2 linked regions of the Rattus norvegicus genome follow. The protein of the gene in region 1 interacts with the protein of each later gene in a biochemical or structural test. Links are inferred from orthologs where the notes say so. Each region holds a gene or a part of one and is shown on either strand. Other genes may lie near its edges.

What was found. The genes of interacting proteins can lie anywhere in the genome.
Region 2: the proteins of Amfr (region 1) and Bag6 form a complex in vitro, tested with the Homo sapiens proteins (2 studies listed by BioGRID, with this or other methods). The link is inferred for Rattus norvegicus from reciprocal best matches to the Homo sapiens genes AMFR and BAG6.

The regions. Positions count from the first base shown.
Region 1 is NC_086037.1:11,000,948-11,005,261, reverse strand, and holds the start of Amfr (autocrine motility factor receptor), read right to left. Parts: upstream 2,812-4,314; 5' UTR 2,582-2,811; coding exon 2,327-2,581; intron 1,881-2,326; exon of another isoform or gene 1,593-1,880; intron 1-1,592. UniProt on the Homo sapiens protein: E3 ubiquitin-protein ligase that mediates the polyubiquitination of lysine and cysteine residues on target proteins, such as CD3D, CYP3A4, CFTR, INSIG1, SOAT2/ACAT2 and APOB for proteasomal degradation.
Region 2 is NC_086038.1:3,680,024-3,683,391, forward strand, and holds the end of Bag6 (large proline-rich protein BAG6), read right to left. Parts: exon of another isoform or gene 3,305-3,368; coding exon 3,135-3,304; exon of another isoform or gene 2,965-3,134; coding exon 2,911-2,964; exon of another isoform or gene 2,791-2,910; coding exon 2,688-2,790; exon of another isoform or gene 2,601-2,687; coding exon 2,476-2,600; exon of another isoform or gene 2,324-2,475; coding exon 2,177-2,323; exon of another isoform or gene 2,071-2,176; coding exon 2,011-2,070; exon of another isoform or gene 1,908-2,010; coding exon 1,764-1,907; exon of another isoform or gene 1,688-1,763; coding exon 1,580-1,687; exon of another isoform or gene 1,175-1,579; coding exon 1,028-1,174; exon of another isoform or gene 751-1,027; coding exon 655-750; 3' UTR 584-654; downstream 1-583. UniProt on the Homo sapiens protein: ATP-independent molecular chaperone preventing the aggregation of misfolded and hydrophobic patches-containing proteins.

The DNA.
Region 1 (4,314 bases):
TGAACTGGGTAAAGGACTTGAGACACCGGCTGTGTTAAGGCCAGCATCAATTACAAGACGGAAAGGGAAGCAGGTGCAAGGAGCAGAGATTCCCTTTCCCTGTCTGTCACCTTTGTTTACTTTGACCTTTGAAACATGAACTTGTAGGATCTGTCTAAAAAGTTTTAAGTTTAGAACTAACCGAACCAGTTCTGAAATTCCAACTACTTTTCTCACTCCATGTGGCAGAGGAGTGGCAAACCAAAGATGGCTGTCATAAGCAACAAGTCAGCCTGAGCGCCACACCTGGAGAGAGGGAGCCGCAAAGGCTTCTCACCTCCTGTCTCTCACTGGGTCAACTCCTCTTACCTCTGGTCTCCTTCTAAGCCAGAAAAGCTGTAGTCGGTCCTTCCCCACACAGCACTCCTACCTAGAAACCCCACCGGGTCTATGTGTTCTATGTGTCTATGTGTTCACCTATCATAAGCTGCCTTATTTGCCTTATTTGCATATGAGTCATTTAAGGGTAGGGGAAGTGCTGTTGGCAGCTGTGTCTTCCAGAGTGCTGCAAATGGCACCTCTGAAGGGTCTGTTTCTGCCTGTGCTAATCCCAACCCTCCCGAGATACTACTGCAATGTGTTCTACAAAGACAAGCTCTAGAGAGTCGAACAACTAGTAAGATTTGCCACTGGCAACTCACAAAGGACAGGTTCTTGTCTATCTTGCTTGACGTTGGCAGACAATGGTTTGTGTTTATGGGGGTCATGGGGGGGTGGTTAATGTCCAAGGCTTATGGGTGGGGCTCAAGAAGCATCCATTTTGACAAAGGCCCACCACACTGTCACTCAATGTTCCTGCCAGGCCCAGGGAAAGCCTTTTGAGTGCTGAAGCTGTTAGAGCACAAAGTAAACACTAAAGGAAAAACAATGGTCACAGCACATCCAAGACAGATCTGGGCAGACACTGTGCAACCAACATAAGCATGCCGAAACTCCACAGAGGAGATGGAAGGAAACCGAATGGAGAACTGGGGAACAAGGATTCAAAGGAGGGAATTAACCTGCACGAGGGAAGAATGTATAAAGAAAGAGAACGTTTCTTAAAAACGACAATTCTCAGAAAAAAACCAAAAGGCCTTAGATTAATGTTTTATGGAGAGGTATTAACCTTGGAATTTGAACATGGGTTTTGCAAGAAGAAACTTACGGGAAAAAAATCATTAAACAATACTACTGACTGTTTCATTAATACAAATAATGGTTCCTGTTCTCTCAGGCTTAAAACAAGGTATCAAAGACTACCTACAGTATAGTCTTCACCCTTGTGAAAGGCACAATTCTAAGTTTCTTATCCTAAAGATGAACAGTTCGTCTTTTCACAGGAGTAGAGAAAGGGGAACTTCACCCTTCACTGCCTTCTATAAACTATGTACCAAAGGACCAGGAGGCCTAATCTACAGCCCACGATTTTCACAAATCCCATTGCTTCCTGATGAAGCACAGTGGGAATAATTACAACAAATGAGATGCGTTTAGTTCTACAAACTTGGAACATTAACCCCTCAGTCATTTGCAGCCTACTCTAGAAGCCGAGCAAGGGGACGAGAACCCACCAAGCCGTAGGAAATCCAAGTGATAATTTTTAAATCCTGGAGCAACTTTTCATATTTCTGAGGGTTTCGTAGAAGAGGCACTCAAGTGCAAGGTGAGAGCAAAATTTTCTCAGATCTGCCCAGCCTAAAATGATGTAATAAACGAAGCCAGTACTTGTGCCATGTGAACGTTGCTTATCTCGCACCGGCAGACAAACCAGAACCCTTGTTTTAAAATGGATCGCAAAGGAAGAGCTGCCACACCAATCCGAATGTTTTGCTGCCTTCTGTCAAAAGGGAACAGACACGAACCGTCGTGAAAAAGAAAAAAAGGATGTTGCTGGTCTGTTTGCTTAGCGTCCACCGGAGCTAATCCATTGCCAAATAGCAACATTTCGAAGTTGTTTTGTGAAGAGTAAAATGTCCCCCCTAACTCTGGGCCCCCTCTTCATCCGCAATCCTCCCCCAACGACGCCGAGCTGGACCCGACTTGTCCGGGCTCCTCACTGCCTCGGGTCGCTGCGCCCCGCCGCCCTGGAGTCCGCGGGCCCCACCGCCCTTGCCTCGGCTGTTCTTCGCAGCCGGACACCTTCACTACGCGGCCCGCCACGCTCGCAGCGCCGCTCGGCCTCGAGCCCCACGCGAGGGCCAGTCTAGCCTCAGTCGGGGTCAGGGCCCGGCCACGCCCCCCTGCGGATAATGGGTGACATGGCGGCTCCCGCCCGCCCCCGCGCCCGGCCCGCAGCCTCGCTCACCCACACGAACAGGCTGTCCGACAGCAGGTACTGGGCCACGTCGCGGACCCGGGGGCCGCCGGGGGTCAGGCGCGCCGGCGCGAGCGCCTCGGGCTGCAGTGGGGCCGTTAGCGGCTCCGGCTCGCCCGACCCGTCCTCGGGCTGGCTGAGGGCGCGGTAGGCGCTGACGATGGTGCCCAGCAAGGCCAGGCCGCTGAGGCCCGTGTAAGTGCGGAGGCTGGGCCACGGGAAGCGCTCGAGGAAGAGCAGCGGCATGGCGGCGGCGGCGGGCTCCGGCGCCCGAGGCTCCCCGCGCTGCGGCCAGGCGCCTGCGGCGGCCTCGAGAACGGCGCCCACGGGCTCTGGCGTCGCTGCCGCCGCCGCTGCCGCCGCCGCTGCCGCTGCCGCCGCCGCCGCGCCGGGCCGGGCCGGGCCGCTCCTGGCTGCTCGCGCCGCTCCGCCCCGCGCCGCTCCCGCTGCTGCCCCTGCCGGCGCGGAAGAGCCTCGGCGGACTCGGGGCGGGCCACCGCCCCTAGCGGGTCGCGGGCGGGACGGGCGCGGGGGCGCGGCCTTCGTCCCCCGCCCACAGCGGGCGCGCAGCAGCCCCAAATGCACAAGACCCGACCTAGGGCCCCGCGTCCGGGTCCCCTGCAGCATCCCTGGCGACCCTGGGCCCACTGACGCCACGGGCGCGCCGGAGCCCGGCTCTAGGGTGAGCCGGGCCTGTGGGCAATGACGGCAGGCCTGTGAGCGTGGTCAGGCGGCAGGACACCGGTCCGTTGCTCTTCCCTGGCAAAGCAGGTAAACCCTCCATCCCACCACCCTGTGGACTAGAGGCTTCCTTGTGTCCTAAAGAGGAGACATGATGCTTAGGAAGTAACAGAAGCCTTGCGATAGAATGTTTTTAAAACAGAAGCCCGGAGATAGAATATTTTTTAAACGGAGTAACCAATTTAACAGGAAATGAAAATCTGTTCCCTCTTTCACCACAGGTGAGAATGTCAAATGTTGCTGAGCTTCTTGGAAAATACCTGTTCCTAAAAGATAAACCAAGGGGTGACCGTTTGTCCTGGCAGTTTCACTGCTTGTTAAAAAAACATACAAGAGAAACGAAAACATATACCCACACAGTCTCTACATAGAGGTTGACAGTAGCATGTTTCCTAATAACCCAGAGGGAGGAAACTCCAGTGGAATATAGTGTTTGAAAATAAAGTACAGACACATGCCACAAAATCAGTGAACGTTGAAGATGCCTGAGTCAAGCCACACAGAGCTAAATTCTATCCCGACGATAAAGGCAAATGCATGGAGTGTGGAGTATTAGTCCCCTTCTACTGGAGGTGAGGTTGGGGTACTAGTTTCCTGACGTGAGAATATTCTAAAACTGTTGTTATACAACTATGAATACACTCGAAGTCACAGAATTGTACACTATAACCAGCAAGTTACATCTCTATATGTGAATTACATAAAATAACATAGGGTACACTTTTTAATCATATTCCCAAGCCGTGTGTTAGTGCCTACCTCAGAATGTATGCTCTGTAAACAGTTGTTGAATTTTCTAAAGGGGATAAACTGTCTATTTTTTCAAGCCAAATATTTCTGTAGTTTTTTTTTTAATCTGAAAATTAATCACTTTGTTATAATTCTTAAAAACACCCATCATGGGTCTTTATACGATAGAGTTCCCTTTGGTTTGCTCCCCAGTCATTTGCAAGATGGCTCAGGGGACGACCTGAGTTTGATTCTCCTAACTCCCCCAAGTCCTCGGACTTCTTTATCTGTGTCTCCCTCATGCATAACTAAATGCAAAAATAAAACACCAAGCCTTAACACTACTGCCCAAATACTGGACATCTTTATTCTGAAGGAATGAGGGTGGTAATTTTCCAGAGACAGGCTCTACTTTACAAGGTCAGATCTGAGTCACGGTGTTCTTTAAAGCATTTGCGATTCACATTCAATGTGAGCCACAAAACAGTAATATTAGATACCAAACTTGT
Region 2 (3,368 bases), on another chromosome or scaffold:
ACCAAAGTGCACATTTCTCCAAGGTCTATCTCAGGAATAATGACCTAGCTTGGGTTTCTAGTGTGGTGAAGACAGCCACTCAAACATTTAATTGGGACTGGCTTACAAGTTGAGAGGTCTCGTCCTTCAGCATGTACTAGAGGAGCCAAGCTTTGTATGTCTGGGTCAACTGACTTGGCTTCTGAACCTCCAAGCCCCACCCCCTAGTGGCATTCTCTAAATATCGCCACGTGCTGTGAGGCCATTGCATTGAAATCACCTTAGTGTCACATGGCCTCCCATGTTCCTGACTTTCTTTGACACGGAACTTGGTTATCAGGTCAGATTGCAAAGGGCTCTGAGGGCTGGAATCGGGCAGCAGAGGCTCATGGGTGCCATGAAGCTGCTTCAACTGAGAACTTGAGTATTTAAATACCGGTTTTATATAAAAGCTCTAAACAGGCTGTATACACTCCATAAGGAGAGGATGATACGTATGTGGAGCTAGGTGGGTCAGTTTTTTTTTTTTTTTTTTTTGGGGGGGGGGTCTCCGAAGCTAGGTTTAAATGTGTAAAAAGGTACTCAACACTACCAGACAAAAGGAGCCAGGAAAATCCGACTTTTATTTCTTAAATACTGTGAAGGAAGGGGGGAAATGGTCCCCTGGTGAGAAAGCTAGGGGTCATCAGCAAATGCCCGGTGGGCATTAGGGAAGCGCTGGGGGCTGTAGTTGGGATCTTCCTGCAGTCGTTTTTGAATATCAGACCGGAGCTACAAAGAGAAAACACAAGCCTGTCAGGAGCCCGATTTAGACCTATGATCCCAGAAAGCACAAAGACCCTAACCCTTAAATACTTTCCCCACCAGCCACGCTGGCAAGCCCAGTATGAGATTGCTAAGCCTTCCCAAATGCCACAAGGAAAAAACCCTGACCATCAATGGGCAGCCCCCACACTACCAAATCATCTCTGAATAGATCCAAGGAAGCAGGAACCTGGCCCAACCCCTCCCAATAGACCATCCCTATTCTGCTGCAAAGTGGGGGCACCTGCTGCCTGTAGCTCTCCTGAACCTCTGGTGCCTCCAGGTCCCGGCTCAGGCTCTCGGGGCTTGTCAGGGGCCGAGCTCCGGCTGCCTTAGCTGCCCGGCTCACTGCCTCTGAGAGTAGCAGCTGGGGGCCCTCACCCTGCATTGTCTGGGGGACAGGTTGAGAGGGAAAAGGGGATCAACATCAGACCCAGTGCCACCACCCAGTTCACCCTTTCCATCAGTTAACCAGTGTAGACTAGTAGAGGGCAGGGAACAGCCTGCACATGGTTCTGACAGCAAAGAAGGCACCAGCAGGTCAAAGCACCTGGGATTCAGAGCTAGCTACTCTCCAAGACAAAGTCCACCTTACACACCTAATCACCTGGGAGATGACACAGCTGAGGAACCAGAACTGCCAGAAAACAGTATGTACCATGTACCAATGTACCAATCCTGAACAAGCCTGACTCACAAACAGGCTTTCTAACTAGATGAAGAGACTGAACTACAAGCAAAAGCTTCTAGCTCAACAAGGGTGCTTGACAGAGACACATCCTCAGCAGAGACCAACCTTTCGTCTCTTGGCAGGCATGCCACTGAGGTAGGCATCACTCAGGGGCGGCTGAGGTTTCACCTTCCGCTGGCTCTGAATGTCCTGCTGGATAATAGGTACCCATTCCTGGGGAGGAGAGGATTTGACATAATTCCCACAACTTACAGCTCTTGAACCCACTGGATACCATCCTGCCACTTACAGGGGGGACTGCAGCTGCCCAGGGCTCTGCATCGGCTGAAGCTCCATCCTGTTCGTCTCGGGAACCTCCTTCAGGAGCAGGGGGTGGACCTCGGGACATGGCTTCTTCTGCTGTTGTTCCGGGGGCTGGGGAAGCATCCTCTCTCTGGAAGGCATGGAACAGGAAGGCCCAGACTTCAGAACTCTTTGCCCCAAGCCCCTCTGCTTCCAGCTATCTACTCCACATTATTTGCCTTCTCAAGCAGTACCTGAGGCTCAGGGGAAGTTCTTTCTGCTCCCTGAACTTCCATTGGCTCTTCAGGAAGTGCCTGTGAAATTGGTCAAGGAAATATAAGGGGTGTGGTGGAAGGGTCAGTCCAGTCCATCTCTTCAGTTTCTTCACATCCCAACACCACCCACTATCCGGTCCCTCACCTGAGGAGGATCACCAATCCTGCGCACATATCTGAGGATGGCGTCGGGACCCACGGGCATGTGCTCTAAGACCACCTGAAGCCTGAGTCCCATCATAGTTGTCAGCCAGCTCACCAAGGATGGATTCACCCCACGAGACATGCGGCGCTGAGGGCCAGAAAGCAGATTGACCACATAACTCTCAACCTGCTTTTGCAATCTATTACATCCAGGGCAACAGGTAGAGTGTTTGGAGAAGAAAATTAAAACCCACAGGATATAATAAAAAAGCTGGAGACCTAGAATTGGGTGGTACTTACAATTCGGCCATTGATGACAGCAGCAAGCTCCATTTGCTGGCCCCCCAAGCAGTGCAGGTTCAGGGCCAAGCATTCAAACAGGCCCTGGTTACATAGCTCCAGCAGCCGGGCTCCAAATCCACTGTCTGCAGGGAGGATGGGAGAGGGCACGTGATTCGGGCAGTCCTGCATGGACAGTGAACTACCTAGGCTTGGCTGGCCCCCAGCCTGACCTGTACAGTGCAGCACGTGAGCAGCAATGCTGTTAAATTGCTCCTGGAGAAATTCTAAATTTGTCCGGATGATATCCACACCTGGCTGAACCTGCACCAAAGACTGAGACAAGACACACCAAGAACTCCAACTCAGTACCTTAAGATCTAAAAGGCAGAGGCAGCAGGGACACCCCCGCTTCCCTACCCAAACACAGGAAGGACACACACACAGGACACTTACGAAACTCTCCCGTACATACTCTTCCAGCCCCGTGATCAACGTGTGGGTTGCCATCTGTAGGGAGCATCACAGGTCAGCTTTAGCCCACAGCCTTCAAGAGCCTCACTCCTACCCTACAACTGCAAGGCTTGAGCTGAAGCACAGCTAACACTGACTGACAGGCAGGAGGCAAGAGTAAATAAAGGTGGGAAGGAGGAAACCCCTGGGTCTGGGCTTTCACTCACCCGGATGTTGCTGGACGTGGGCTCCTGGCCACCCAGGTAGTGCTGGTGGAAGAAAGATCGTAGCTGTGGCTGGAGCCGCTGTAGTGGCTGGAAATGGCCATGGAGAAGCATCACCACATCCACCATGGAGAAATTCTGGCACAGAAGAGAGAGCAGAGCTCCAAAGAATCCTAGGGAAAGGGGCAGAAGTGAGAGATTACCTTACCTCCTTGCCTAGCCCCACACACCATCAGT